3 linked regions of the Drosophila melanogaster genome follow. The protein of the gene in region 3 interacts with the protein of the main gene of each other region in a pairwise test. Each region holds a gene or a part of one and is shown on either strand. Other genes may lie near its edges.

The links.
Region 1: the proteins of mesh (region 3) and wat interact in a two-hybrid assay, tested with the Drosophila melanogaster proteins (one large-scale study listed by BioGRID).
Region 2: the proteins of mesh (region 3) and Lfg interact in a two-hybrid assay, tested with the Drosophila melanogaster proteins (one large-scale study listed by BioGRID).

What each region holds. Positions count from the first base shown.
Region 1 is NT_033777.3:29,012,631-29,024,002, forward strand, and holds the start of wat (waterproof), read right to left. Parts: upstream 7,777-11,372; 5' UTR 7,393-7,776; intron 1-7,392. UniProt on the Drosophila melanogaster protein: Catalyzes the reduction of saturated fatty acyl-CoA to fatty alcohols. The preferred substrates are C24:0 and C26:0. Necessary for the final stages of tracheal maturation, to facilitate the transition from water-filled to gas-filled tubes.
Region 2 is NT_033778.4:12,868,743-12,879,334, reverse strand, and holds Lfg (lifeguard), read left to right. Parts: upstream 1-2,368; 5' UTR 2,369-2,544; coding exon 2,545-2,563; exon of another isoform or gene 2,564-3,045; coding exon of another isoform or gene 3,046-3,073; exon of another isoform or gene 3,074-3,127; coding exon 3,128-3,234; exon of another isoform or gene 3,235-3,253; intron 3,254-3,310; exon of another isoform or gene 3,311-3,391; coding exon 3,392-3,493; exon of another isoform or gene 3,494-3,555; coding exon 3,556-4,062; 3' UTR 4,063-4,171; downstream 4,172-10,592. Other genes in the region: Nmda1 (N-methyl-D-aspartate receptor-associated protein), read left to right, coding at 244-283, 625-950, 1,014-1,262, 1,321-1,680; Balat (Beta-alanine transporter), read left to right, coding at 4,405-4,517, 4,681-4,996, 5,055-6,116, 6,175-6,498; bic (bicaudal), read right to left, coding at 8,423-8,932.
Region 3 is NT_033777.3:31,190,052-31,201,217, forward strand, and holds the start of mesh (mesh), read right to left. Parts: upstream 5,712-11,166; 5' UTR 5,666-5,711; intron 5,459-5,665; 5' UTR 5,404-5,458; coding exon 5,007-5,403; intron 4,339-5,006; exon of another isoform or gene 4,246-4,338; coding exon of another isoform or gene 3,334-4,245; exon of another isoform or gene 3,311-3,333; intron 1,784-3,310; coding exon 1,548-1,783; intron 1,459-1,547; coding exon 1,271-1,458; intron 1-1,270. Other genes in the region: bnk (bottleneck), read left to right, coding at 3,334-4,245; CG1544 (uncharacterized protein), read left to right, coding at 6,961-7,084, 9,120-9,237, 9,406-9,583, 9,670-9,889, 10,353-10,514, 10,858-10,931, 11,008-11,166.

The sequences.
Region 1 (11,372 bases), 2.2 Mb from region 3:
CATCTATCTGTTAGATACCACGTACTGTTGGCCAGCGTACGTGCGTTTTGATATTTTAAACAAATATTTAAAACAAATTACCACAGCACAAAAGTCGTATGCAAACGAGTGTGTGAGCTGCCAAGGAACTGGACGGCAGTGGTCTGAAATCAGGGGAACATTTGAACCAGGATCAGACCTCATATCGAAGAAGTATCTCGAACAGATATCTATTTCACTTGTTGTTCATCGAAGTAAGAATATTTACTTTAATAAAATAAATGTACATCTTACAGCTGCTTTAAACACTTCAAATGAATCCCACAAAAACTAATTTATTACGGTTTAAGCTACAAGCTTAACTTGGCTATAAATTAGCTGAAAAATATTCTAGGAAACTACAACATTTTTTATATGCTGTTGACTAAAAAAATATTGAAAAATAACCAAAATAAATAGAATAATTTACTGACCACTGTTCCTCGTATTCGTTTCACTTGGCAGTTGGTAGCCCCTTGTTGGCTTTTAGTTAGTATCGCTCCCAGCCCATTCATATTTTTTAGTTTTCCGCTTATAGCCACAAAGTTAGTTGTGGTCAGTGTGGCAAAGCTTTGGCTTAGAAATCGAGTAGCAATAGGAAAGTGAACCAACGGTCAATAGTACGCATACGCACCGTATGAAGTGGGAAGCTAAAAATAAAGGGGGTTCATGTGCCCCACGAGTTGTGCAAACAAAACAAAACAAAACAAAACGGAGCCGAAACCGAAAATCCCCCACAAAGTAAGGCAACAGTGTAAAATGCTCCACGTACGAGCGTATCTATGCATCTGCGACATACAAAATGGCAAAGTCTTGAAACGACTACAACTGGAACTGCGTATCGAGTGGAACTGGAGGAGCTGAAGCCGGGATAGAAGCATTTGGCCAGTTTATCAACGTCTGGAAACTTGTCCCGTTCCCCGAATAAACACCACTGCGATTGTCAGGTTGGCAACGTTTCGTGGGGCTGCTGAAATTATGTCAAACCAGTTTGATTGAAACACTGAAAATTGTCTGCAAATTGTTTTTTACAGCATTGCCCAGTGTGGTGCAACTGACAACCGTCCGGGGGGTGGCTGGAAAAGTGGGTGGTGGCGGGGCGAACTATTCGATTGGCGGACAACGTAACCAATTCAAGCCGATTGCTGTAATGCTGGCTCATTACAAATGCACAACATCAACATTAACGGCAACAACAAAGGATGTCGGCTTTTCTACGATTTTCGAATTATTTTGGACATAATACCAAAATGTGTGGCTCGGGGCATAGAAAGCTATGGGGAAATGCGCGTTGATTTATAGGAAGTGTGCACCGACTTATTTGATTTCTGTAATTGGATGATTGCATTTAAGCATTACGCAATGGAAATCATAAATAGCACAATATTGTGTGTCAATCGGCGATGGAAAATCATAATTTATGCTGCGATATGCTGTTTATATGTTAGTGAAGGTTGTCTTAACTACTTGCATATATGTATTTTTAGGCAATTAAAATAATTATATGTTCTATTATCATATGAATTATAATATTCTTAAAAAACAATCCTCCTTTAAGATGAGTTCTTTGCTGCCAGTTGAACTTTAACTATCTATCCCGCTGAAATTTCAGTTGGCGTTCCACTTGCAACAGTTAAACATTCAAAGAAATTCCGGATTTATTTATTTACAATGCATTTTAAAAATGTTTCGTCAAAGAAGCTTCAGTTGCAGTTTTATGGCTGCCCGTGTGTGTGTGTGTGTGTGTGTGTGTGTGTTGGCCGAAAATGCAATCGAATGTGAAATACATATGCATATGTTTCGGCACACACACACATGAAACGCATATATATATACGTATATATTAAATGTATGCAAACTGCATAAATGCTTCCTGAATCGAATTTAATTGTATCTGGTGTCTGCATGCTGCTCTCGCATCTGTATCTGCATCTGCAGCTGCAACTGCATCTGTATCTGTATCTGGTTCTGTGCCTGTATCGCTATATGTATCTGTATCTGCCAGTGAGCGATGTTGTCTATCCATCTCGGCGAACTCGCAGTCCCGCAGTCCCGCTGCCCCGCAACCCCCTCTTGCGGCTTTTTGGTTTAATTGGCTGCGGGAATATTCCATGTGATTACTTAATGAGCCCCAACTTATGTTTACTACGCGAAACATTGGTTCGCCCCGGTCGGTTTGGTTCGGTTTCGGTGCACAAAAGTTAAAAGGTTAACAGTGGCTGGTCGAGAGAAGTGCAAAAAACAAAAAAAAAAAACGGCGAACAATTCCGCTGCCGATGCGCACAACAATTGTGGGGGCGTGTGCACGTAGTTTATTATTCAATTATGCATTCATTAAGGTACATAATTAATAATTCAATTAAAGGTAGCACTGCGTAGTGCATCAATTTGTGGCAATGTTTCCCATAATACTCATTTTCACGCACTCTGCGTTCGAACTCGCATTTCGATTCCGCACAGTTCTGCCATCCGTGACTCGCCGCCGAAGTCATGGGTTAACTGGGCGGCGATGGGTTAAACTCAAGGGTTCTGCTCCACTGCAATTCGAGGAAGTGGAAGTGGGCTAAGATCCGACCGACTGGCAGCGGCATGCGTGATTTTCGATTGAAATCGAATAGCGAATCTTACAGTTTATTGCCTGCCAAATGATGCAAATCATTTTTCAATATCTGTAGCTCGGATAAGATGACTTGCCAAAAGTCTGGCAAAAATATTCCACTCCGCAAATCAGGTCTCAATTGGAATAATTCAATTAATATTGAGTCATGAAGTTGTCATTGAGTGCAGTTGCGGTTGAACTCAAGATTACAAGGGGTTTCCATACGATTTAAAAGGAAATTAAGACCCTTGAATATTTCTGATATATTTCCGCATACCTGAAAGGTAATTAAGTACCCAGGAGATATAAAATATACCACGTACGAAAGAGGAACTCTTCTTCCTCTAAGCACATGCTCCATCGCTACTAAGACCCTTACCTAAGGTCAAGAGGTGCTCCTGAAAACGCTCCAATAAGCGGCATCAAATGCCTGACCTAAGCCACCATATCCATAGCGTCTCTGGGCCGAACTGTAATTTATGTCTTTATGGCACATTACATTCAAGACAATTCACTGGCTTTACAACCTGTTGGAGTAAGTCTTTTACGGCCCCATCAGCAGAAGATCAAGACCAGGCCATGGTAATGACCCAGTTGCCTGGGCTGGCAGACCTTTTAGCCAAGTGCCAAAGCAGCGACGCTTTCATAGCGACATGCATAATTAAAAAGCCGTTACAGGATGTACACGGTCGGGGTTTATGTTTAAATGGTCATGCCAAATTTATGGGCCCGCTCTTAATTGGGCCGAAAACGTTGACTAACGAACAAACAAACAAACAACAAAAATTGGCAACTTTACGTGCAGAGTTTCGGGCCACGTTCATGTTCAATGCCGCTGGCCTGCAGCCGAATTGTGTTGACCTTTTCGCGTAGTGCTGGCCAGTGGGCAGGTGGAAAAGCAGCAGAGATTCTGAGAGAACCAGAAAGCCTTGCCCAAACCCAGTCCGAACCCAGTCTCAACCCAAACCCAAGCTCAGGCTCAAGGCGGTCAGGTGCATTTATCGCAATTAAACACTTGTTGCTGCCAAAGCAAAGCAAAAGCACTAAGCAAAAAGGCAAAAGCAAAGCTGCCACCGCAAAAACAACGCCACATCTAACAAGAAGCGAGGCAAGATTAATACGTGTATTACGGCCGGGCCACGATTTCCACAACGATTCAACAACGATTCAACAAACGATTCCACAACGAGCTAATAGCAAATGTATTGTATATACGAGTATAGCTGTAGTAGATAGCTGCAGCTATATGGCAATTGCGATTTGCTTAGAATGCGACAACCGCCGGGCCCCAAATAAAAGCCCAAGTGCTGACCTTGTCAGTGGCTACTATGCTACCAATATTACCAATACAACTGCTTTGGTACGACCACCAATGTTGCTTTGGAAATCGATTGCACTGCTGAATCTCGAGTGGTTTTCCTTGTGTTTGATTTTTCAATTTTTGCAGCACAAAGCGTGAGCACAAACACACACACACACACACACAGGCCAAGGAGCGATTTTGATAGAAGAGAGGCGATTTTTTTTACGCCCGAAAGCGATTGGATTTATTTTGAATTTTATCAATATCAATGCTGGCATGGGAAGTTTCAGCAACAATATAATTTATATGCTTCTCCGCCCAGATGCTGCATTAAAATATATAAATAATTGCAATGTTTGGGTTAACCTCTTATCAATGGTTCATCTATAGTTAAAGAACACATTCCGTTTAAATCAACTGGCTGTCACTCAGAGTGGGCTATTCAGACCGCAGGAATTTTACAATTATATATTACAGCGCTCGTTAAATAATTAATAAGTGTAATATGAAACATATCAGAGCAGCTACATATGTACTGTGCCAAATATAATTACACTAATTAAATGAGCATGCAGAATTTAATATGGCCGTGTTCAAATGAACAGCTACAAGTGTAACACTTTTATCTACAAATATATAGAATATCTGCATGGAAATTCGATCTTTGTTGTAATTTAAAACCGTACGTTTTATACGAGTATGGTAAATGCAAACTCACCCGATAATAGTTGAAATTGACAAAATTTATGTTCAAAACATACCTTTATTTAGGAACGTTGCCACTTGGCAGCTTGAAAAATGTGCAGATACCGGAGGCACAGATGCAGATACAATGCAAACATTACTCAGCCGCATTGCTCGGCTACTAAACAATTTAAATGAAGATGTTCCCAATTGGATTCATGGTCAGGCGGCCGATGAGTTATTTATGCATACTTAAACACGCCTGGAAAATGCAAGGCGAAGAGCGCCTTCGGATATCTTGGCCATTTGGACACTTGGCCGTTTGGCTGTTTGGCTGCTAATTCGCAGCAGAAGCAATATTCGCACATTTATCGATTGCAAATCAATTTCGTGCAATTGCACATCTCACGTAATGTCGGCCCCTCTTGGCCAGGTCGAAACGCAGTGGCTCTGGCTCTGGATTTGGCTTTGGACTTCGATTTGGATTCGGAATCGGCTTGGGCTTGGGCTTTAACTGGCTGCAATGCATCGCTGCCGGATTACCCCTCGATTAATGCTGCTTGCATACAAATTGGCGCATTTACGTTCGCCTTCACCTGCTATATGGGAATCTCGGGGGGTCTTCCCTATCCACAAGATACAGATACAGATACAGATACAGATACAGATACAGATAGAGGTGCAGATACAGATATAGATACAGACACGCGCCTGCACTCGTTAGCCAGAAGCCTGAAGCCTGAGGCGTTTGCCTTCCTTTTGGCATTCGGCAGGCAGTTGGCCAAATTGCATAAACAAAATCGCGCAGCGAAATGAAAAGTGCGCCAAGTGCGAAATATAAATTACACCGCGAGCATTCGCATGCAAATTCCGATTCGGATTTCAATTCGAAAACATTGTCGCACGTTGAAAGTGGTAAGTGGCAAGTGGCAAGTGTCTTTCGGTGCAATCCTAATCAGCATGACTGGCCCAGTGCCAGTCACACTGCAAATCCCATCGCATCCCATCCCAGTTATCCCATTCCATTCCCTGGGTGCTGGATAGAAATGGCAACGAGGCGAGGTGACAACATAAGCAGACTTTTCGCGGGATTTGTCAAATATTTGCGCAACGCTGCGCTTATCCATCCAAAAAAAAGAAAAGCACTAAATCTCTGGAAAGGGAGATCCAAAACTGCAGCACCGAGTCCCAAAAACCCAGGAACCCAAAAAAAAACCCCCTACCCCGCTTGCCCACTTTTTTGTGTGCGCTTTCACGCCTCTTGGAAGGCGGGCAAACTTTTATTATTATTTCATTTTTTTTATGTTCGCCGCGCCTCGCAAGTTCAAAAAGTTTAATGCTATTTGACTTTGATTCAATGTTTGCATTGTGCCCGGGCACATCATCGATTATTTTCCACTTGACGCCCCACCACGTCAGCCCACTGAACATGGAACATGGAACACCAGAGCCACCAGAGCCATCCGCCCACGGATCCCGAAGCGAACTCCCAACGAATCCCCATCCGCATCCGAACTGGAATACCAGTTGTTTGTGGTGGACAAATGAAATATGTTTGGCCGCATCAAAAAGCCCTGGCACTGAAAATTGATAAATTGCGAATTAATTGAATCGCTATGACATGAAGTTTAGCACTATTTTCTCGTCTCGCCTCAATTAAAGAGTTGGCTGGGTTTTTCCTGCACAGATACTTAGATACTTTAATTGCATCCTTGAGGCCCATTTAATTGTGGCACACAAATCGATTTTTTAAACTCTGTTTCATTTCAGCACGATATGATGATATTCTCATGCATATTTCATTGAATGCATTTCATTGCCATTTAAATTTGGCCAACGAAAGTATTTGTTGTATAAAGGGCTTGGGGGCGTCCACTCTTTAAATTCTTTATGAACTTTAATTTCCAAATTACATCGCTTAATTGAGTTCGGATTTTAAATGGCTTGTAAAGCTGAGGCAAATTGCACATTTCTGCGCAGCTGAAATATGATTTACGTAATATAATAATATTTAATGCAACACATTTTTATTGCGACATTTCACTGAAATGCGTATCTTCTAAATATTTAAAATCCTCTTCTGGCCTTTTAGTCTCTTTTACAAAAGGTATGTATATTTTTGTATATTTTTGAGCATCAAGTAATTTCTTTTATAGCCAGCACAGAACAATTAGTCACGGATTTGTAAAACCAAATGTCACAGATAATATTATTTATTCTGCCAAATTAGTGAGCTGCTAAGTGGGAATTTAAATATTGATCGAACTGCTCTTGATCCAGTAATGAATGTTTTTCCCAATCTAATCAATTATTTTTTGGGTTTGGCCATATATAAAATACGAATGAATGCAAACTTGTTTGAAATACACAAAGACCACGGGAGTAATATAATAATCCAACTGGCGATTATCGATTCTTTGGCAGCCGTAACTCTTTTGCCATTGCAATGGCAAAACAATGAGTTATTTCCCAATTGCCGAGTGGGTTTGTTTGTGTATTAAATTTGGGAAATTCAATGAAATTTCACACATTTTTTCGTGAATGCCTGTGTGCTGGCAATTGGCTATGAGCTCTTCGTCGGCCCCTCCTGCACCTGCGGAGCGAATCCAACCCGTTTTGGGTATTTGGGTATATGGGTATTTTTTTTAGAAAGCCATCAACGCCAGCTACATTACCACCACCACTACCTACAGTGCCTAGCATATACGTAATGGCATATGTCATACGATTACCAGGTATACGGATAGCAGAGCAGATTGTCTATAATCCCATGTAATTCAAGACTCACCGATTTGCTGGCTGCACAGGCACAGATCCCACGGCCACGGATTGGATTGGAGTGGCTTTCCGCAAATTGCTGGCTAATTGGAGGGCTCGTGGATCTGCCAAAACGAATCTTGCTCGCTGGCATACAGGGATATATCTCTTGGTTTTCTATCTTTTTCAGTTGCCACTTTCGAAATATATAAAAATTCTCTAACCAAACGCGCTTTACAACTGCAGCACGCGCTGTTGCACAAGAGTAGCGAAAAGAGCGATGCCAAATTGGTTGCAACAGGTGGAAAAACTGGGAGCGCACCGCGATCCGAACCGAATCGGTTTTGTATATCCAGCGAATTGAGTCCCGAGTTTGAAAACTAACTTTTGAAGTCGATGCGAGCGTTACGCGTTCCAGAACCGCGCTGCCAGGCAGACGAAAACAGACTCAGCTCGATTGAGGCTCGCAAAAACCACAACACCTGACGGCGGCTTCTCAGTCCGTGGATCGGCGCCGTTCAGCGGCTCGATGGTGGTGCGCTTGGCATCTCAGCGGCTCAGCGGTTTGGTGGCTCAGCGGCTCAGCGCCTCAGCGACGGTGGCGTCGACTGCGACGGCGACTGCGGCGTTTTGTGGGCGGTAAGCCAAACTTAAAAAAAAAATCAAGTCAAATTGAGTGGCGCAGTTTGGACTGGCGATTGAAGTGTACACATGTACATAGTCGTACTAACTTGCCGCACCTGAGCATCGCTTTCGGACACTGCCAGTGTTATGATCCAATTTTATGGAGCCTCGTAAAGCCGAAGCATTTGAGATATATTTGCGGTATATGTACATCGGACTTCACTTAAGCGCTGGTCACTTGGGTTAAAATAGCGCCGGTTACTTAGCTTACAGCTTGCCATTCATCCTATTAAATGGAGCATTTTGAAGGTTCCAAAGCATCTTTAATAAACAATTAACAAAACGTGCTGGTAATCAAAGATTACGCCAGTATCTTTTACAATTGCCTTATTCAGTTGAGTTTCAAAATTGAATATTCCCATACCCAATGTATACTAGTAGTTATCATTCCAACGAAGATGACGAATACTCAAAATATTAGCAAAGATTTCGAGATGAACTGTAAATATTACTCATACGCAGCGTGTACATATATCATATATTATGAGGCTCCATATAATTGAATACATAGCGATTGAATTTTCGGATTATCATTATGATTGTTAAGAAGTGCAAAATGATTAACCGAAAATGTATTGGATTACTTTGCATTATATGTATGTTCTTTTATCTTGTATAAAAAATTCCGTTGTTAATTAAGTGATGATAGCATATGATTATCATGCTGACCCCAAGTTGTGTCTGGTAAATAAAGTGATTACTAGATGAGATCTCTGAAACCGTGCTGGCTAATTAAAGACATTCGGCGAACCTGGACCCTGTCTTTATAGTTTGATCTGTCTGACAGGGCTGAACCCACACGGACCTCCGGCTCAGCTGACTCATCCTCGAGTGCAGTGCACATCCGCTCCATCCCTATACGAATCCCAATCGAAAACCCAGCCCAATTGGTATTCCTGCTCCGTTCGCCCGGAGACGTCGTTCGACGTAGTTCGCTCATAAATTTTGCATTTGCTGTGTGATTTTCCTTTTTAGACGCGACAAGATTTCACTGATTTCGCATATATCCCAGCATTTATAATATATTCGCCTGGGCCGAGTATTCTAAGTCGAGTTCAGTACTGTTCAGCTGTTCGGCTGGTAATCGCAGTGCCGCCATCAATCACGTAGTTCCCAGCATGTTTTGTCGCCGATCCCATCTGTATCTGTATCTTGACGCAGTATCTTCTCACACCAGAGCCAAGCTCAAAGAGTCTATAAACTCGAATATCTCTCGCACAAACGCTGTACGAAAACGAAACAAAAGGCCCATTAATGACAAATGCGAAATAACGAAATTAAAATAATAATATTCGCGATCAAGACACTGCATATTAATGGTGGCCCCATCAAAAGACACTCAAGTGCACACTTTTCAGGTATGATCCGATCTTGTTCAGCTCTGTTCAAACACTTGACAATGACATGATTCGCTTTTGATGTATAATTACTTCACTTTCGAGGTACAACGGCCTGCAGATTGTTTGATGCCTTTATTTATGCTGTGTAATTGCTTTGAAATGCCTCTTTACTTATGCAGATTTCGGGGCTCCATTATATAAAAAGTTACGATTTGTAGGCGGACAGTTTGCAATGAGCAAATAGGGCAACATTTACCCAGACAACTGAGTGTTACCTTTTTGAGTCAATACCTTGAAAATCTGATTTCTCGCCGATTTTCGCACCTGGTCTTAGTAATTAGCTTAAAAAGTTATTCTTCGTTTCTGACATAGTCAGTTATTAAAGGTTCAACTATCTACCTGTTTATTTTCAAGGGCATTGAAATACGTTCGAGCCAAATTAAAATACTTTTTAAGCTGATCATTCTACGATTATTGTTTTTATAAACTATTTAGTTATATGGTGGTTTTTTTTTATGTTCCACACAGACCGTTTATGGACCGTCAAATTAGCTTGCATTACCAGGCTCAATCGTATGGCCAAAATCATATGGACTAACCAAACAGTCGAGCTGAAAAGCGAAGTGCAATAAACGCAACCGAAATTTAAGAACCCAATAAAATGGAGCACTAAAAAAGCGAAAGTTGACCTTGGTGCTCTTGAGCGACAAGAATCCGGGCCGAAATCGCGGATCCATCCAAACGGTTGCACCCCCAAAAACTGGCCAGCTTCGTCATCGCGATAATAGCCAAGGCAAATTGCCAAGTCATTTGGGTTTTTTACCTCTCGATATTCTAACAAATCGACTAGCAAATAGCGCCGTTCAAAGACAAACAGAAAAAGAAAACAGCGGCCATAACAAATCAAACTCAAAGTCCAGAAGCTGCAAATCTAAAAAGGTAATTGCCAGGGCTAATTCGGCATTTGGAGTGTGTGGAAAATTCGTCGCGTCACCGCATAATTATTCGAGGAGTCTCGATGACGAGATGATGGCCAGTAGTGTCTGGTAATTTGCCGTTTCAGCCGTGATTTACTATTGACTCTGGTGTCGGGCTGCTTGATTTATTTTATGGCCAGACGGAACGCAGCGTACGCCTCCAATATGTTCTTAACACACAAAGAAACCTATGCTTTCAATACCCTTCACAACTTGAAGAAGCCAAGGAATGATATATACTATAAAGATCTTGGAATTGGTCGCTTACTCTCTAATTGCAAAGTCAAGCAAATGCCTGAATTTAGTGGTGAGCAATCTAATTTGGGAACACTTCTGGGAACACTTCTCGACGGAATTCCCGGAGTGAAAATATGGTTTGTGACAATGTGCAACTTCGCCATTCAATGCAAAAATAAAATGCCCCATCGAGGGTATAAAAGTATCAGTCACGGTAGAATGCAGAATTACCAACACATTGGCTGGAAGACACACATGGACATGGCTGAACGGAAGCCATTGAAATTCAGAGCGGGTTCAAAGACGCTCGGCCACGGCAACAAATCGTGCAAACAACAACTCGCCGAATTGCATGGAGCAACATCTTCATTCCCGGCGATTTTATTGGGGGGTAGGGGATCGTCGGTTGGTTGGATGGAGGATATAGGAATGGAGATGGAGATGGTGATGGGGGCGGCATAAAGACGCAGTCACCAAAGCGATTCAGAGAAATGCATTCTAGTGCCTTATTGATTGCGTTTCGCGTGCCACGCCAGAGTGCAAAAACTATGAAAATCTATTAATTCCACTCGGGGATAGGCAAATGCATCTCAAGTGGCTCGGACAGGGGAAACCGGTGATGGAGGAAATGGGGGATCTGGCGGATCCGGAGGAGCAGCGGCCAAGTGGCTGACGTCGACACGGACATGGCTTTTGGGCCGTTGACAGGTGTTGACTGCGCTGCGAGTCAGGCCATTAATGAAAACAGGTACGAGTCGTAAACAATGTACGAG
Region 2 (10,592 bases), on a different chromosome or scaffold from region 3:
TACTATAGTGGCAAATTGATTGATAATTAAAGTTGCATGCCACCAAAGGTGTGCACATTTCTTAGACACTAATTAAATTAGCTAATGATTGCTTATCATCGTGTCTTTGCAGGTAAAACAACAACGAAACAATGCAAGGTGAGTGGAATAAGGACAAGCCGTACTAACACATTCTTTTTGGATCTAAGTTTACTCCACAGCGGTTTCGGAATTACATAGAAATCAGAGCGAAGTCCCTCGAGAATGTCCTGGCAAAGTGTTCCCCAGTATCCCCAATACCAAGGTTCAATCTTCTTAACTTCTAAGCGAGTGTTACAGCTTACCCGTTTTCTGATCGCATGCTTTTGTTCGTCCCGGGGCTTGTCGACCCGTTGAATGCTCAGTAATTGCCCAGAGCTGATTCATTTCCATTACCTCTCTCTCTTTACACATCGTACTTGTCCCTTCTTATCATGGTTGTATGTACATATTTGCTCGAGATTGTTTCTTGGTTTACCGCATCTCTTCGTCACGGCGAAGCGTTTCATTTAGATTTTACAGTTCTTGGTAGACAGATTGCTGTAGCGAACGCGTTGGTAGCACCGTTTTAGATGACAAACTAAAACGAGATGTCTTATTTCGCAGATCCCAACCAGCAGTACAACTATGGCGGCGGTAATCCCCCGCAGGGAGGATATGGTGGATATCCACCTCAGGGCGGCTATCCACCTCAAGGACCGCCGCAAGGCTACCCACCCTATGCACAAGGAGGTGCTCAACCCTATCCACAGCCCTACGGACAGGGGCCTCCACCGGGAGGTTATGCTCCCCAGCCGGGATTTATCCAACCACCACCATCTGCTGGCGGCTACGGAGCCTACGATGATCCGGAGAGCCAGCCCAAGAACTTCTCGTTTGACGACCAAAGCATCCGTCGCGGATTCATACGTAAGGTGTACCTGATTCTAATGGTGAGCTTTAGATAATTCTGCATAGAAGGCATGTACAATAAGTTATCATTTCTGTGTCATTAGGGACAACTAATCGTCACTTTTGGAGCTGTTGCCCTGTTTGTATACCACGAGGGCACTAAAACCTTTGCCAGGAATAACATGTGGCTCTTTTGGGTTGCCCTCGGCGTAATGTTAGTAACCATGCTGTCTATGGCTTGCTGCGAAAGTGTGCGCCGCCAAACACCGACGAACTTCATATTCTTGGGTCTGTTTACAGCAGCTCAGTCGTTCTTAATGGGAGTTTCCGCAACCAAATATGCTCCGAAAGAGGTGAGTACTTCGATTTAATTACGATATGTAGTAAAGTGATACGATATCTGTTTTCCAGGTTCTCATGGCGGTGGGCATAACAGCAGCGGTTTGCTTGGCCCTAACGATCTTCGCCTTGCAGACAAAGTACGACTTTACTATGATGGGCGGTATTTTGATCGCCTGCATGGTGGTGTTCCTGATCTTCGGCATCGTGGCCATCTTTGTAAAGGGAAAGATCATAACACTGGTGTACGCCTCGATTGGAGCGCTGCTCTTCTCCGTTTATCTCATCTACGACACACAGTTAATGATGGGCGGCGAGCACAAATACTCTATCAGTCCCGAGGAGTACATCTTTGCGGCACTAAACCTCTACCTGGACATCATCAATATCTTCATGTACATTCTGACTATAATCGGCGCATCGCGCGACTAAGTTCCGCTCTATTTCCAAATATTGTTTGCAGCTTAATCGGGTTATTCAGTAACCTGGAATACACGAATATTGTTGTCGCGTAATCTCATCGGTGTGCTCCCCCAGTGGAGGTAATCTTCAACTAACGAATTACTCAAATACTTACAAATCTATCTACTTCGTGTTGTGTTTGCCCATTTTCCCCGTTTCCTTCTAGTTCTAAATGTCAACTAAGGCTATATGAACTACTTACTTTTTGTTATGTATGTTTTATTGTTGCTTAAGTTGAGGCGCAAACCAAGTGGATATTTCCAAATTTAAAAATAAAAAAATTATATATATGTATGTATACCAAATGATATGCCATTCAGATAAACGAAACAACAATAAATAGTCACGTATAAACATATTTATGTAAAAATATACATATAAGCAAGTTGGCTTGCAGTTGTTAACACATAAAACTTAACCGTGTGTAATAACCAAGGAATCCCGATTTTCAACTATGAATCAAGTACCGAACATTGTAATCCCTGCAGCGACACTGAGTTTAAAGTCAACAATAAAGCGCATCTATTTATTAAAGCCACAGACCCCTGCATTGTAGGGCTTCCGTCAGTGGTTCATCCAGTTCAACCAGCCAGCCACCACCAGATGCAACTTTAGTCTGCGACTTCAGAGCGACGCCGTTGGTTGGATTACTTCTACACTCCAGACCATTATCGTCTGCATTTTTGCTTTATCATTGCTTAAGTTAACTTTGTTATCTGCACCACCACAGAAAGAAGTCCGGGTGTTTTAATTTCGGGTTGGCCCCATATCATGCGTTTGACCCGGCCACCTGTTCAGTAGTTCGTGTGAATTCCAGCAGGGCGTAGCTATAAAATGTATCACTACCAGCAAGGTAAGTACCGCCCGGATTGGGCTGAAACCAAACCAAATTGGCTACGGAAAGGTGCTTTAGATTAGATAATCGATTTGGCTATTGTATAAAGCTTATTGACTGCATCGTTTTCTCTCAGTAAGAGCCAACAAAATATATCTCTCTCGGCGCATTTTCATCTGATAAGACAGCTGAAAAGGTTTCGTTATGAGCCCAAAAACAGTGATTCACCCAATCGAAGGGAGAGTGAACAACCATTTTGAAATTGTATGGTGGCAATATCAGTTACTCACCGACATCAATACACAAATCTTATCTAGAGTAGAAGTGTGGGGCTGTGATAAGAGCCGGTAACCGGCTAATCTCAACTCATACGTCCATATGGGAACACCTAGAAAGGGCGATTCGGTTCCATTAAGCTGAAACACTAGCACGCTGCCGGCAGTCGGGCAAAGAGAGCACCGTAACTTAAGTGACTAAAGTTTAGTCATAGCAATTTAGCCATGAGCAGCGACAATCATTTTCAGTACGGTTAGTCATTGCATTAACTTTCCTGCTTCCTTGAATTGTCTTCCAACCACACAGGCGATGAAACTGGCGCATACACAGATGCGGAAGCGGACAAGAGCTTCGCCTTCGATGACCAGAGCATCCGGAAGGGATTTATTCGAAAGGTCTACTTGATATTGATGGTAAGTGCTGATATTTGAACTGAAAAAGAAAATATCAATTTAAATTGTCCAAAAATAAAGGTATTTGCTTCACTACTTGTCTGCTTTGGGTCACTTTAAAACTTCAAGATTTATTGACTTCCTGCAATCTAATTTTGATATCGCGCTCTATTTCTAGTGCCAATTGCTGATCACTTTCGGTTTTGTTAGCGTATTTACGTTCTCGAAAGCTTCGCAGGAATGGGTGCAAAAAAATCCGGCACTGTTTTGGATAGCCTTGGTAAGTTTTTACGACTTTTATGCTAAATATTGAATACAAATATATCCAATTTTTAAACTCAGGCCGTTCTTATCGTGACCATGATCTGTATGGCCTGCTGCGAAAGTGTACGCCGTAAGACGCCTCTTAACTTCATCTTTCTTTTCCTGTTCACCGTGGCGGAGTCGTTCCTTCTGGGTATGGTCGCCGGACAGTTTGAGGCTGATGAGGTCCTGATGGCAGTGGGAATTACGGCCGCGGTGGCCCTGGGACTCACCCTGTTTGCCCTGCAGACCAAATACGATTTTACGATGTGCGGAGGAGTGTTGGTGGCCTGTCTGGTGGTCTTCATCATTTTTGGTATAATCGCTATCTTCATACCGGGCAAGGTGATCGGACTGGTCTATGCCTCCTTGGGAGCATTGCTCTTCTCCGTTTACTTGGTGTACGATACCCAGTTGATGCTGGGTGGTAATCATAAGTACTCCATCAGTCCTGAGGAATACATCTTCGCCGCTCTAAACCTCTACCTGGACATTATTAACATCTTCATGTACATACTGACCATTATCGGATTGTCTCGCAATTAGACTGGTCATTATGATCCATAGCTTCTATTCCAGTTTTAGAAATGTAACTTAATTTTATGTGCCCAGTGCCACCTTAGCCGGAAAGAAATACAAGACGACTAACTAATCCAACATTGTCGAGTGCTCGCTTTGGTTTGGGATTTTGGCTGGGATTGGGGCGCGCTCAACTAGTTCGAACCTTGTCCACACCGCGGTGTCCAATTAATTAATGCGCACGAGAGGCCGTAATGTAATTATGTTCAATCAGCCCCTGCAGCGCCACCAGTTCCTGGACTGGATTGAATGTGGACAAGGTGATCGGCGCGATCGTCAGTTGCGCGAGCGTCTGGCTAACGGGCGGACATGGATTTCGACGAGGTGCTGCGGGAGGTGGGCTCCTTTGGTCTCTACCAGAAGGTCATCATCTGTTCCGTTCTATTGCCCGCCGCGCTGCCCTGTGCCTTCCACGCATATAGGTTGGTCATCCTTCTTTGGTATTCTATAATAATAATATTGAAAAAGAAATCTTAATGGGATTTTCACATCCATGCGATAGCATCATTTGGGGTCTACCTTTTCGCCTCTTAAAGGTACCTCATCAGAAAATTTTCATAATTATCTAAAATGATTATTTTCTAGCCAGTTGTTCATAGCGGCCACACCTCAGCACTTTTGTCGCGTTCCTGAGCTGGAGCCCTGGACGCAGGACTATGTGCAGCTTGTTAAGAACCTGAGCATTCCGCGTAATCGCAATGGAGCCTATGCCGAGTGTTCCATGTACTCGAGAAATTACACCGATATAGTGCGCTATCTTGAGTATCGACCTCCTCCGGATTTGTTGCGACAACAGGCAGAGGATTTGCTCAAGTTGCAGCCGGATACGACGCAGGTGGTGCCGTGCCAACATGGCTGGCACTACGACAAGTCCATATACTCAAGTACGGTGGTTCAAGAGGTGGGGATTTTCCAATTGGATATGGTATGTTAGAATTATTTCCTCATATATCTTGCAGTGGAACCTGGTGTGCGACCGCAGCTTCCTTGTGACTTTGGCGCTTGTGGTCTTCGGTGTTGGCGGATTGCTAGGTAACTATGTATTTGGATATCTAGTGGATCTGTGGGGCAGGCGGCCATCCTTTTACGCTTATCTGCTGCTCGAGATCATTGCCTGTGCGGCCAGTGCCTTTGCCTGGAACTATTACACTTGGTTGGGCCTGCGCTTTGTGGTGGGACTGACGGTGCCAGCTATTCTGGCGAGTCCCTATGTACTGGCCATTGAGCTGGTGGGACCGGAGAGGAGAGTTTTTTGCACCATCGTCTCGAATATCGCCTACTCCTTGGGCTTGGTGGTATTAGCCGGAGTTATCTATATCGTACGTGATTGGCGGGAACTCAGTTTGGCAGTGTCCATGCCTTTGCTGATGCTTTTCTCCTGCTTCTTCGTGCTTCCGGAATCACCACGATGGTTAATGGCCGTGGGAAAAACCAGGAGGGCCATTAAAATTCTCAAAGTAATGGCCAGAGTGAATGGTGTGCGCGTAAATCGGGATTTTGTGGAACGGTTGCAGCGAAAACTTGTCATCACAAGGGCTGCGGAAACCAAATCTTCAATGACCACCCACTATGGGATATTGGACTTGTTTCGGGGACCCAATATGCGTCGGAAGACCCTGATCATAACCCTTATTTGGTTTGCCAACACCAGTGTCTACGTGGGACTGAGTTATTATGCTCCTGCGCTAGGAGGCGATGAGATCTGGAACTTCTTCCTGGCTGGGGCGGTGGAACTGCCAACATATTTGCTACTCTGGCCGGGATTGAGTTATTTCGGAAGGCGCTGGATCCTGTTCATATCGATGCTGGTGGGCGGAGTCGCCTGCGTGGCCACATTTCTGTACCCAGACATCACACTGCTGCTCTACTGCGTGGGCAAGATGGGCATAAGCTCGTCCTTTGTAGTCTTGCCGCTCATGGCATCTGAACTGTATCCCACGGTGGTGCGAGGACTGGGCATGAGCTTTAGCTCGGTAATATCCATGGTGGGACCTATAGTGATTCCCATGATCAATCATATGGTGAGTGCGGCTCAGGGGATTACTGTTTACCATAATATTCACCCATTTCTCGTTGCAGGGTCAGCAAATGCTCGTACTTCCGCTAATTGTAATGGGAGCCCTGCTAATCTTGGGAGGATTTGCTAGTCTTTTGCTGCCAGAGACCCGTAACCGAAATCTTCCACAGACTTTGGAGGAGGGCGAGGCAGTGCCACTGAGCTTCCTCCTCTGCTGCTGTGTGGAAAGCGAGCGAAAGCCGAACAATATCCGTGCGAGTCCGAAGAAAAGGATTCTTCCTGAGGCCGGAACACCGGTTTTCCATCGTGTAGATACTCCGGTTTCAGATAGAGTCCCTTGCAAGATCGTTTGCAGCATTTGTAAAAATGAAATGCGCACACTTTAGTCAGTTACTAGTTGTTCAAATAGAGTTGGTTAAAATAAAGTTTGAAATTGAAATTAATTTGTTTTGATTTTGTGGCGGCACTGCGTCTCTTACATCTGGCAACTCTGTACCGCATGTACATACATACATACATACATACATGTGTCACAGTGGTGTGAGCTATTAAAAGCTAGAAAATCTTTAGATTATCCTTAGGTCAAAGTTCAAGACCAAAATGTGACAAGATTTTAGAATATTTTAATAATTAATAATTATATTCCTAATAAGCTCTTCCAAATCTTTAGCCCATAAAACATATTTCAGCAATCTATTGTAAAATATTCAAAACACTTACATACATACATATGTATATCCGCAGTATTAGCTATGCACGCATGTTTATAAAACAAGTTGGCAGGACAAAAAATCAAAACAAAACCCAATTGGAAACCTAATAAACATCAATTAAATATATTTGCCACAATTAAATATGAGTTTTTAACTCTATTTGACCTCGTCACTGATAAAAATACTAGCATTTGCATTAACCTTAATCCGTTATAGGTCGTCGAAATGTGATAAGAAGCCGCAATCGCTTGTTTATGTACAAATGAGTGGAAACTTCAAGAAACATTCCGGTTGAACTGGCCTAATCGCAATTTTAAGCCAATTTAAACGTGACTCATTTCGAAGATTTCCGACCAAAAACCATATACATATTTATATATATACATATGTGCATGTACCGCATGCTACGACTCCCAACTTTGGATTTGGACACATAATTTGGAAGTTGCGTACGGGTCATAGTTCCTGCCGAAGGAGCCTTCTGACCATCTGGATTTTAGACGTACCATACCAAATGTCAACAAGTTTTCGACTGCCGCGTGCTTTGCGCCACACCTCCCACTACCCCTTTCCCATCACCTCGAAAACCTCACACAAGAGCGTTGCTATGCATACACACACAGGCCCACACTCACACACATGTCGATTATGCAAGCAAAGAAAAAAATAGGCATTAAACTAAAAAAAAAATGCTGGAAATATGAATGGGTCGTATGGTTTTTACAGCTCATTTAATGTTATGCATGGTAATGATGGTCTAAAACAATAGTTTACAAATTATAAGCTATGCTTTCAACAATTTGGGCACATTGTTCTCGAATCGAAATTGTGGCCTCAGCTTGTTTTCGTTTTCAATTGAGGATTCCTTGAGGGCGGGGTTACATCGAAAAGTCGGAAATTGGGGAAAATCGGTAAGAGCTAGTAGTGCTAAAAATATATTTCTCTGTCCTCGCGACCTGGCAATGAATTCATCTGGAGTGTCTGCGTTGTTCCCCTAATCACCTCGTCACAATTCTTCCGAAAACCGTATCGTATATATATAGTATATAGTGTTTTATGACAGCGCATATATCTATAGATACATCTGTGTGTGTTGTTCTTGGGAGGGCGGCAAAAATTAGAATGTGTGTGTTGTTTAGACTGTGGTTTTTTTTGGTTAAGGAAACGTTCTTTAATCGCTTTGGAAAATACATTTGACTGTTCCAAACTAGTACAATTAGATTAAGATTGAAGGGTTCCCTTAGTATGTTAAGTATAGTTATTATGCTTATGTGTTCTGTTCAGCGCTCACTCGGATGCCTTTATTTTTGTATTTTAGTATAGTGTGTAGCATGACCCCCAAAAAAGTGGCTGGAGGGAGCACGAAGAATGGCCCATTCAGGGCAGAAGCGCTGGTTGCAGTCCGGAGTGGATCCGTTTCCGATTTGGAACCGGAATGGGTAAGTGGTAGATGTGTTTCCGGCGTGTCTGGTGTGTGGGTTCTGCCCTGTATGCCAGCCACTTCGTCTTGCTCCCTGGCCCCGTATGTTTTGTATGTATGTTTTTGTGTTCGGTGTGTGGTGGTGTGATTTGCCCGGGTGGGCGGGGTTGGACCAGCCTAAGCGGAGGCCGCCACCTCACCGGACTTCTCCTCCTTTGTGTCGGCGATGGCCACCTCCTCGAAGTTCTCGACCAGATCGGGCACATCATCGTCACCGGCATCGGCGGCTGAAGAGCCGGCTGCTCCGCCGGCGCCGCTCTTGCTGGCAATCTCCGTGGCCAGCTTCTTCAGCTGGTTGATGTCCTGGGGACCCAGTTGCGTCAGAATGCCGGGCACCATCTCGGTGATCGTCTTGTTCTCGCCATGACCCGTGATGGCAAACGTGTTCGTCGGCAGCGAGGCCTGGGCCTTCGGATTGTTGAAGTGGATGACGGTGCCATCGTTCTTGATGATGTTCACCTCCTCGATGCCGGGAATTGTGTTTACCGACAGCTTCTTGAGCGACGACTGCAGCTTCTTGTCGTCGGTGGCGGGCGTGGAGTGGACGATCTTCTTCTTGCGGCGAGGGGTGCCCTTGCCGCCAATGCGCACCTGCGCCTGCAACTTCTTCAGCTTTTCCGCGTTCATCTGTTCAATTGAGTACACACAATGGTCGCATCAGTAAAACGCCAATCGAATGCCGCACTTTCCACTACTCACTTTGATTTTACTAGAATTTAGCACAGAGCCTTGCCAGAAAACACGTGCGCCCAGTCGTAGTCAAATGTCAAAAAGAAATCGCCATGATAAAAATGGCAAAAGGTGTATGTATATGTGAGTAGTACTGGTAGGAAGTACTAAACGTGAGTGTTGACTATCGATAGCTCACAAGGTGGCAACCAAAGCGCGCCAAAGAAATTTAAAAATTCTATTGTTTATATAATTTATACATTATTTTTGAAGTAATACGTTTTCTGAATTTTGAATGAATTTTTAGTTTTGAATATATTCAAATTTTTAGTAGTATATGGTGGGAAAGTAAATCTACTCAGGGCATAAATCTCAATTTAATCGATTTACTTTATTTTCATCGCTTTCAACCACATATATAAGTAAATATGTTTAAAAATTTGCTATATAAAATTAAAAATAAACGTGGTAAGAAAAAAAACCAATTTACTAAACATTTGGAATGTTAATAAACATAATTATGAGCCATCATAAACCCAGCAATAAAGTTTTAAACACAATTAAACCAGATGTAATGTTTGAATTAATTAATTCTTATATTTTCTATTCCAATAGTATCGATTGCTTTGTTGAGTTCGATAGCTATCGTTGGCTTGCATCGACTACTCACTAAACTCAGCAGTCAGTGCTGCATAACGTCATCATTATGATAAATTGTAATGTTTTAAAAAATATCTATACAAAATATACAAGCTTAGTATAACAAACTCAATTTAGTAAATATTTGGAACGCAAATAAATAAAATTATGAGCCATTATATACCTTGCAATAAAGTTTTAAACACAATTAAATCAGATGTTATGTTTGAATTATCGATTGCTGTGTTGAGTGCGCTAGCTATCGCCGCTTTACATCGACTGCTCACTAAACATAGCCAGCGCAGTCAGTGCTGCATAACGTGCACCCATTATCATCATGATAAATTGTATTACTTTCAGATTAACGCTGATAAGATATAGTTAATTCCAATCGGGCTTCAATAACGACCTTCCGGTAGAGTAGTTCACTGATATTTAAGTGAATTATACGGGTGCTGCCAAAAAGCGGATAAATCCGATAAATAGGCAGTGCATTCCCTGCAACAAGTGGAATTTTCGACTTTAAATACAGATATTAACAAAGGGAAATAACCGCTAAATCCTTGTCAAACGTAAGTATTTCACGACGTCTTATCGACTATGAAACGAGCTTTTAAACACATTAACTTCTTCCGCAGTGGACGACTTTGAGTTGGACGATATAGACGATTTCGCCATGGATTTCTGGGGCATTTTCATGTTCTTTCTGCTCACCTTCCTCATCATGAGTTGCTGCGGATATTGCTGCACCAGCAGACGCCAAGGTGCCGTTCTGTCCAGTGAGTAACTGTATAAAATATATGTAGAAGTATTAGCCTATAAGCCATTAATCAAATAAAAACTCCCCGATGAGTCATTCAGAAAGACAAAGCAGCCGGAGTTTAGCTCAAAAGATGAGTTTTATGAGTGAGCGAGTGTGTGTAAGAGTATATAAAATCCTATTCGTGTTAAGAAGTGATAATAACAATTATATTTAGTC
Region 3 (11,166 bases):
GGCTATGAAATGTAAGGCGCTGAGACAATGTAGACGAGCAGCCATAAGTTATGCTCCAAATAGCTCGGATCTGCGAGTTAACCAAAGAGCAATTTAAGAAGAAAGTAGCTTTAACTAATTAATGCACTTTTGAGAGTCTGCCTCTCTGTGTGTGCGATTGCGGAATTTGTAAGGCCAAGCTCTTTTAAATGCTGCCATGGGTAAACCCATATAAATACACCACAAATAACTTTTAACCCCCTCTTGCATTAATTTGCATAATTAGCTGGACGAGGGCAAAAAAAATGGAAATTCATGTTTGTATAAATTTAAACATTGTCCTCGGAAAGTTCAGCGGGAAAGTGCCTGGCAACAGAATATAATTAGAGTAGAATTGGTCACATAGCGAATTCATCCTGAACTCACAAATTATATTTCGAAATGCATTGTTGCACTCAGATAAAAACGATTTGAATGCAGTGAATGCTCTTTTCTGCAAAATCCTTAACAATGCATCAGAACGATGGACACTTCGCAATGAATTCACGCTCGAGTGCATGCTGAAATCAGCAGGAAAATAATGGTGCTGGAATTCTGTTGGGAACCCGGAAATATTACGGAGCACAGATGAACAGGTAGCCACCATGAAATAATGCAGAAATTCTGGGGCAATAAATGACAGTAACAAGCAACGAAACACTAACCATGTCACACAATAATGGAGGTTGGACCTCCACAAAGTCGGAAGGATAATACACTTAATACACATATATATATATATATAAATAACATTATTTCAGGGAAAATACAGTCACTTAACTTAGTTGACTTTAATCACAAGAAATTACTTGACATGGTGCACGTGTGCCAAAATATCAAGTTCTGGTATTTCATAATTTAATTCCTTGAATTAATATAGAACAAGTTGTTTGTCAAATAAATTATACAGTTTGGAAGGACATATGCATAAATGCAGGCCCACAACATGCACACACACACACATGCAGAATGCAGAATGGGGCCATGAGGACCGGAAGTGAAGAGTGGGGCACGCAGACACTCATGCCATTTTGTGTTAGTTTTCTGTAAATGGCGACTGGCGCACGTAAAACGAATGTGAACGTATGAGTACTTTTGTTTGGCGCGTACTGTGTGCTGATTTCGCATATGCAAATGCCACGAGAAACAAGGGCGAATAAATACGGCTGGCAAATAAATACAAACGAACCGGAAATGCGAGCGGGAGGGGATAATACGGAAATATATTGAGATGAGAGATGCATTGTCTTACCGGAAGTAAACACCGGGCGTCCGCTGGTCAATATCCGATGGATAAATTCGTCCTACACGGCACTTGCTGAAGAAGATGCCCATGAAGGAGGGATCGCGTTTGGCGGGCCAGTCCTTGATCGGAAAGACCAGGGGGTAAGTTAGGTACTCTGGCGGATCCGAGAACTCCAAGTAGCCGTTGAGGGAAAGCTGTAAGAGGAGGAGATTGTTGGATTACAGTCAGATTCGCATATTCTGTGCAGCTTTACAGTCATGTCAAAATCTTAAAGAAACCCTACCCTGGTGTAGTTGAATCGGAAGCCGTAGAAGGGCAGCTGGAAGTTCAGATTCTTGTGCAGCTGCGTCATGGAGGCATGGATGTCGAACTGGTAGTCGCCACGTCCTCCGTACATGTCCTTGTCGAAGTACCAGTACATAAAGTTGCTCCTGAGCTCCGCAAGACGGGCGGCGGTTATGGTGTATCCTCCGGCTGCCGTGGAGTATGTGGTCGGCGGGGCGACATTGTTATTGGGATCTGGAAACAGCGAGAGGAGAAGACAAATAGCTTAGAGAGGTGAGCTCTGGCCTATCATTATAATTTCACACCTAATCCGGCGAGATTACTTTTTCAATTCCACAATATTATCCCTGGCACTTGCTGCGTTGCAAGGCATAAAGTGAAAGAAAACTTTTTCCTGGCCTCTTTTGCATTTTCCGGCTGCAACTTTGCCACCCACATCCTTGCAGCTCCCGTTCCGGGTGCTTGGCCATTAAAGGTCACAGTTAATATTCATTTCTGCGCTGCAAACTTTGCTGTCTTCCTTCTTCTCTGCTACTCTTGGCCCCTTTTTCCTAATTTCGCCTCACCGCTGGCCTTTTAAAGCAATTTAAGCTGATTAAGTGCAAAGCTGACGTTCCCAATGGACACTGCAAACGTGTGCCCATGAAAGAACCCAGGATCCGCTTAAGGATATTGCTCCTGACGCTGGCCAGAAACTTAAATTGCTGGCGAAGTTTTCGTGGTGAAGTCCCGGGAAAGATTTCAAAATATTCCTGACATCCCTGGAGAGTTGTGGTTGCACCAAAAGCGGTTGACATTCATTGCATTTTGCAGGAATACTTTAATATTTTTAAGCTTTGTCTTGTACTTCTATAGTTCAATTAGCTAACTAATAAATACTTTAATTGTCTTTTGTTTTACAGAAACAATATTAGTGGGCAGTGCAGGTATCACAGTCTACTTTGCAGCATCTTTAACTTTTCATTTCGTGCCTATCCCAGCTGAATTCCCTGAATTCTATTTCACAAATTCAATTTTAATATTTAAGTTAGTTGTTATTTCAATGGAACCCGCTCCTTACATACAATTTAAGCTTCATTTATAATTCCATTAATTAATGAACCCCATTACGATCCTGACACCTCATTTCGCCTTTTGCACAGATATTTTCCCATTCCATCTGAGTTTGATTGCGTATTTCTCTTTGAATATATGGAAATTGCAGTAGTATGCTTAATGTATAACACCGTTTTTATTTCCCTCATTTCCTTCTATTATTTTGTCGGCTGTGAATTGCAGAGTGTCGGGTGAATCATTAATTGCATTGATTTTGATTTTAACGAGCCAGGTAATGAAACGTCAACAGTGTGAAGTGGCCATAAACCCCAGCGGATTGCTTGTAGAAACCCTGAACATCTGTCGCGTTTAATGTTTTTAAGCTATTTATGATTCGATACCCTCGCTAATCCTTTTTGGTGGTCCTTATAAAAGTGTGCGGATTAGCCGTCAGTCTTTTGCCAAAAATTGGTGCGCGGAAAACACGCAAAACTCGCGTGTTCGGGTTGCAATTACCGGGAAATCGCTCCTTTGAGAAATCTTCCTTTTTTACTTTCATAGCTTAGGTAGTGATCTCAGGTAGTTTCCCGGAATTAAGTTAGGCTGGGTATCGCCTATCGGGATCGGCTACCTGAACTTTTGGCACCAGCTGCCGGGGGTGAAAACTGGACCAGGTAGTCTTTAGAAGTGCACCTATATAAGGTCTGCGTTCCTGGTCTCAACAGCACATTCGTACTTCAACCGTCAACATGAGCATCAGCACTTTCAACTTCCAGTTCTACAACTACAAGCTTAGCCCGTCCTCACCGGGATTCGGCAGCACAGCCTCCCGTTCCTCGTCCTCATGCATCAGCGAACTGGAAATGGACATTGATGAGGACATGTCCGCCCAGCCCACCATCACCTCCACGCCCAAGCCGCGCTTTACCAGCCAACTGGCCGTGGAACTGGCCAAAACGGAGCCGGGTAATGGCATATCCCCACTGCGACCCAAATTGCATACGGCCCAGAAACGCTGGTCCATGGAGTTGAGGGAAAAAGTGCTGGAAATGTCCAAGCGAAATAATGGCCAGGAGAAACCACAAACCGCACGACAGCAGGAACAGCGACAGCCACAGGAACAGCCACTGCAACAGGAGGAACTGCAGCATCAGCAGCAGGAACCCACTGTCACCGACAAAATCAACTTCTTCAACAAGCTGACCAACACCTTTGAGTCGGGTTTCAGCAAGCTGATGCCCCAAGCAAGCTCCACCAACAACCGCTTCATAGCCATGTTGCGCACCGCCCGTCCTCAAAACGTTGCCACAACCACCGCCAACAGCAGCACCGCCAACAGTTTCCTGGGCAGCGACCACAGTCTCAGTGGTTCCGTGACCGGACAAGTGCCACCACCCAAGCCCAAGAGACTGTCGGCCACCACCGCCCAGTTTGCCACTCCCCATGTACCAGCCATGGGCGTGGGCAAGGGGGGCAGCCAGCGCAAGTGCTCCCTGCGCCGCAAGCCTTCGATGGACAAGTCGAGGGCCACCATCTCCCGCCAGAGTTCCAGTGCCTCAGTACGAACCCAGAACCACGCCATCATGGAGGACCTCAGTCTAGTGGTTCCCGTGAGATTGCGCATCGCGGAGTACGAGCAGCGCATCTCGATGAGTGCTTAGGTCCAGAAACTAGGTTAATTGTAAGTTCCAAAGGATTGCCTTACTTTAGTTATAAGTTAGCCTAAGCTTCTAAAGACAGTTCAAATATAAGATAAAATATAAATATATATATGAAACAAAATGTAAGCGTCTTGTTCTTGGCAAGTGAGGCATTACAAATATTACAATATTTTTAAACCATTACTCCTTTGCAATCGGTGAGTAATTCCACATATATATTTCGATATTCTATTTCTGACCAAACCCTTTTTTATTACACAGTTACATTCTAACAAATGACTGTGACTAATACGGCAAAAATTCCAATTCCGAATAGCCAATATATCAGTTCTAGGGGACTGATAAAACAGAATTGCTAAATCCACACACTACCACAGGTTGTAAACTGAATCACGCAAGACTCCGTGCTCCCGCTGTCCGCCGTGTCCACACCTATATTCGTGTGCATACATATGCGTATATTCACTATGCCACCACGCACCTGTTTTGTTTGCCGAAGCGGAAAACAAGAAACCGTTAGCTTTTTAATGCCTCAACCTGGGGCATTATCTTATCGGGAAGAACACAGAGCGAGAGAGAGAGAGAGAGAGAGAGAGGGGCTTACAGCACCTACACCTGAATGCCCGAACACAGGTTATCGAGCAAATATTGGTAACTAAACCAAACTGAAACCCACTGAGCTGTTCTGATAAGATAGTCAACGCGGCGTATGAGTAATGGGGTGGAACTGAATCAGCCCAGGGACAACGAAACCTACTCACCCCAATTGTAGCCGCTGTTGTCCACGTCGTACAGCTCCCCCAAATAGTCATTTGGCATGATGAGGGCTCCGAACATTTTCTCGGGCTTCAGTCCCGCGACGGTGAGGATATCATCTGTTCCCCGACTGCTGACATGCACCACGGGAATCAGAGTGGGCTTCTGCAGGGCCAGTGGTTTGGTTTTCGGGTTGTCCGCTTCCGCTTTTTTGGGAGCGGGCGTGGCCTTTGGAACCTCAACGAATTCCGCCTGAGCTTTGGGCTTAGTCACCTTGACCGGCTCCGGAACTGCATTGATTATTTGATCCTCGAACTCCTCCGTCGATATATTCTCGTTAGCCAGGACAAAGGCCATAAACCCGCAGGCCAGCGCACAAACCACAAACAGTTTGAAACGCATGTTCACTTGATTTCGATTTGTCACTTAATTGGTAATTCGTTTTTTCGTTTCACTGCTAAAAGAAAAACACAAAGGCATCAATTAGGCATCCACAATAAAAGTATCACTCAATAAGCACTCAATTCATGCGAATTTGTACACTATTTTTCCTCTGATATCCTCATTTTCTAACAATTTTCACTTGATGACATCATCAGTTAAGGCAATGGCTTATCAGTTCTCTTATCACTTGTCACCAATTTTCAATTTTAACTTTAATTACCAGGCAGGAAAACACGTTCGTTGCAGCGAGCCGCTCAGCTAAGACTGAAGTTAAGTTAACTCTAACGGCCCGATCGGGGCGTTGCCAAAACTCAGTTCACCTGTCGCCGTCTACTCGATTGTGAAACATTGCCTTATCGGCCAGATAAAGCTAGGCATATCTTATCAATGGAATACTACGCACCGATAACGCATTCCTTCTTCGGCCCGCTTGGCTTTTTCGGGAAGCTTCACTCTCTTCTCTGTGCTCCAAATTTACCAACCTATTTGTTTATGCCCATTCGTGGGACCGTTACCTATATTTCTCTCTGTTGACAATGGTCTCTGGCAGATTTGTGATTCACTTCCATTACAGTTAATCATACTCATGACGCGGCCATTTTGTGAAAAGCTGAATGGGCTGTAAAGCCTAAACATGTATGTGTGTGATGCGAAATTGATGAGAGCACGCTTCCGGTTTAATTATAGACAATGACCCATTACCGACCATTAATAGGCATTTCCGATGAAGCTTTAGAGTTATGAATATCAGCCGCCCGTAAAAAAGCCTACTGATGGATTTCATTAGGACATGAAAGTGTCATGGTCCTCATTAATGAAGAAATCAAGTGCAGAGTGGGGAACTCCAAATTAATAAAATCAAAGCGTTTTGAGGATCAACTTGTGTGACTAAAAGGGTATTATAAAACAATAATGCAGATAAACATTGCTATAATAAAAATCGAAGGATAAGATATATTTTTATAGTGGTTATTGTTAGGGGAAAATTGGTGTTGAAAATGTACCCCATATATCTTTTAAACAAACGACAGCATAATTATGTATAAAATATATATATAAATATAAAAATGTTTTTAACTATGGTACAGTTCATTTCAATATATTCCTGAGCATATGTATGACTAATTTAATGGATACAACTCTTCCCTCTCTCAAAGGCAATCCATTATTGGCCAACGAACCTGTTGCATTATCAGCTTTAGTTAACTGATAAGAAACTATTTTGAAATTCATTATCATCTCATACATGTGTTTAACAAGCGCTCTGTTAATTAACAGCGATCATATCACACCACCAGCCCAAAAGTAGGCACTACTTTTCGGAGGGATTTGTTCTCTCCCGGTTTATTTCCCAGCTTATCAGCAATTTAGTTTATTTGGAATATGGGGGTCCCGGCTTCAAACAAAAGTGAATTGCCCTTAGTTCTGGGTCGAACGGCGGCGAGAAGAGACCGCGATTTCGCTGCGAACTTATCAGGTGATCCGGCATACACGCCTCGTTTTTAATCCATCAGCATGCTGCGTTATCTGGCGCTTTCGGAGGCGGGAATCGCAAAACTGCCACGCCCACAATCGCGGTGCTATCACAGCGAAAAGGGCGTTTGGGGCTATAAGCCGATTGCCCAGCGTGAATTTCAAGGTACGGTTGTAAACAAGTGTGTTGCCAAGACTTCAATAAAAACCTCATCCGTCGAGATAACCATCGCATCGATAAGAGTCTTTCGGGATCAAACATTCATATGAATGGGCAGTGGAAATCTACCCAAGCAAAAAGAAAAACCGACGAAGTGACATTGTGTGCGTGTGTGTGCGTTCGTGTCGGATTTTCCAGCCGGCTATTTATCAGCGGAATTCAAGCAGCTGACCCACAACAATCCCCGCAGAAACTGCAATAAAACAACAGCCTGAACAAGAGATCAAGTGCAAATTGCTGTGGGTGAATTCGAAAACCAGTTTAAAGAAGATATATCATTTGTATACCCTGTAATCGGAGGGTATATACGGGAATACGTATGGATACCTAGGATTATTTTCACTAACTTCAGGTTTAACTTAATTTCGCAAAATATTTTTTAAATTGAAGTTCATTGTTTATGCCTCTCATACTATCGAGAAAGAACAGCTCCTGTTGACTGGTGGAATATTTTTTATGGTTTTAATGTTACCGTCTTTCCTGTTACCTACCCAAGCTAATCTCCACGTTCTCAGCTTATCACATGTTTTCACTCTGAAATCTGATAAACCCGAAATATATGGCGCTACACCCAGTACCCCGAATTTATAATTAGAATGAGGAGATTGTGGCAGACCCCCCGTGCAGTGCACTAATTAAGTGAAGAGAGGCGGATGTCCAGTGCAGAGATACTATATCTTTTCCCAAAACGCACGGCAGGGAGTCCAAAAAGGACCCGGCTAAATATCAAAGCCCGGCAAACAAAGGACCCCAAAACGGGAGCTTCTTTGTGCTTGTCCTGCATCCGTTGCGTACACAATTGGGGCTTATCGACACCATGGCCAACAGACACCAGTCACCAGTTGGTAGTTGGTAGTTGGATAGTCTGCCAGGAGCCTTTGACTGGGCACCAGAGGAAAGCCTTCAACGCTTGACCATGTGACATCAGGCGCCTAGGATGATGCACATAGAGAAAATCAAGTCTAGGATTTACTCAGGCTTTGGAAAAGTATGTTAGATATTCTAAAGCAAACCCAATTGACCAGTATTTTGAATTATGGTAAAGCGTACTAAAACTGACTTTAAGCGTTAGTTTTGCCTCAGTGTAGTATCGGTATAATTCGCCTTGTTTGCCGTTCGTCCTTTGGCTGCATTTCTGTCAGGGCAATCATTATCCTTGGCAAAGGACGCGCCGCTGTGCTCCAATAATATTTACACGCTCAAGCTGAAATGTTGTCACCGCAAATACAATTCATCATACACCCTGTGCTCCTGTCCAAGCGACCTACTCTTTAACATTAAATTGATTTATGGCCGAAATGCCGTCGAGAAATTGCATAAATTTCTGAGGACGACTTGGGGTCGGTCTAACTGGCAAATGCCAGCTGTCCCACGGATTTCGAATTTTCAGGGTACTGTAATCGAGTGATATGCGTCATCGCATATAAATCCTGTAAGCAGGATAACACTTTAACACGTAAACACCTAAGCAGCCAACGAGTTGTCAATGGCTCAACCAGGGAATAAAATATCCCAACAAAGGCAATAAAAACAACAATCGTAATTTCTCATATGTAGCACGAATTGCTTGCCATCGGGAAGCACAAACGTCGTGGTACACTCTATAGTTTTAAATTCGATGTAAATCTGCTAACTGGAATAACTAACGATATATGTATATGATAAGAATATATGTTCTGCACGCAATCTCAATAAGCCCCATTTAAATCTTTAGCCAACTCCTTTCGACATTTTCCACTCGAATTCATATCGAATGCCAAATATTTGCCGGGTAAATACGATTCAAAAGTGCACATACCTGGCAGCTAGTCCATCAAAGTGAAGCAAAGCGTAAAAAGCAAAGAATAAATATCATAAAAGTAAAAGGCCAATAAATTCAAAAGGCCGAACAACGTGGCAACGGGGCGATGTGCACGTGAATCCTTTTTTAAATAATTTATAACGTGGGGCGAAATTTATATTGTTTACGCGTGTGTTTCAGTGGCCGAGGATGTGCGGGCCTCAAGGAACTCGCAGGCCAACGTCTATCGCTTTGTGGAGGCCTTTCGCCAGCATGGGCACAAATTGGCAGCCGTAAATCCCATCAGCATCAGGACGAGGTAGGAGGCTCCAGCACCCAGTACCCAGCTCCCAGCTCCCATTTTCCCATACCCCTCCCGAAATCGTCCTGGCAAATGTCATATTTTATTCTCCCTTTCTGGCTGCTTTGTAATATCGCCCCGGCTGCGTGTATTTGTCTTGTGAATTTTCGTGGCTACTGGACACAGCCAGCAGGAGCTGCAGGAATTAAGTCCCGCATTTTATGGACTGCAGACACAGGAGCCGGTGCGCACCGATGGCCTTTTAAGTGGTCCGCAGGTGGCCCACAACGTCGCCCAGCTGGAGCAGCTGCTCAAGGACATTTACTGCGGCCGCTCAACCAGCGCCGAGTTCTCCTACGTCGAGGTAGGTGTCCCGTCCTATCGCATCTCATCCCATTCCACCGCATCCCATAAACATTGCGTGCTGATCCCGCTGCCTCATTTTCGCAGGACATCGAGGAGCGTGAGTGGCTGGCCCGGAACTTTGAGACGCTGGACCAGCAGCAGCTGGGAAAAAGCGAGCGCTGCGAAATCGCCGAGCTGTTAATTAAGTCGCAGGCCTGGGACAATTTCATGGCACTCAAGTTTCCCACAGTCAAGCGATACGGAGGCGAAGGAGCCGAGTCCATGCTAGCCTTCTTCTGGCAACTGCTCCGTGACAGTGTCCAAGGTGAGTTTCCCACGCAATGCCATCATGAAGTTATTTGGATGCATCACTCCGTTGAACATCGATTTGGCAAAGCAACATTCATAAACTTCTACGATTAAGTCCATTTTATTCCAAATTTCAAAGTTTCATCCCATATTTATGACATGATTTATACGGTCTCGTGCGTGTGGACCGCTCCTTAAACGCGATTAGCAAAACGCGGAATCGCGCACCCATTTCAAGACGCCGAACTTTGTCTCGTGACAGTCCGCAGAGATGGTGAATCTGCTCCTCGGAATTTGAGCTAGCCCACCTGAACTCTAGCCAGCATTCCAAACTTCCTTCCCACAGGCATGCTCACATATCATCGCACGCTTACTTAACCCTAATCTGCTTTCTCAAAACTTTTCCCTCTCGCATGCTACCCCGAAAAACAACGGAAACGACGACAACGATAAAAAAAAATTATACAATGGAATGACAGCGAACATCGAGCACGTGGTCCTGGCGATGCCCCATCGAGGAAGGACTCCGCTGCAGGCGGCGCTCCTCAACATGCGGCCGGCGAAAGTTTTCCGCAAACTCAGCGGCGCATCCGAGTTTTCCGAAGACATCGAGGCCATGTCCGACGTCATAAGTCATTTCCGTAAGTGAAACTTTGCCGGGGCGTTCGGTGGGCTTACAGGTATAGTAGGGTATTCTGGTATATTCGTTTATTACACGGACAAGAAGGATCTGAAGTTGAATTGACCGTAAAATAGAAACAGGAGAAAAAATGTAACATATAACTTATTTATAGTCAATTATTTATCCCAAAGTATTTAGTACTAGGTATGGATTTTAATATCCTGGGTATTTCATAGTCTTCATTTGAACTAAAATCCCTTCATCCCATCCTTTTCGTGTGCGCCAAGCAGTCTTAGCCTTGCTGGCCTAAGCACACACGGCGTATGCTTAATTTAATAAAACCTGAACCGAATCGCACACAGATGTTTCCGAGCAGCTGAAAATACTGGGCAAGAAGCTGAGCTTCAGCATGGTGCGGAATCCCTCCCATCTGGAGGTAAGCCGACACACGTCAAACTTTGAAATTTGATTTCTAATTTAAGCATCGTGTTCCTCCTTTATCCCACTTCTAGGCGGCCAATCCTGTGGCCATGGGAAAAACGCGATCGAAACAGCAAGCCAGAGGAGAGGGTGCCTTCGGGGATGGCAGTCAGCCCTTTGGAGAGCACGTGCTCAACGTAATCCTTCATGGTGATGCTGCGTTCGCCGGCCAGGGAATCAACCAGGAGTGC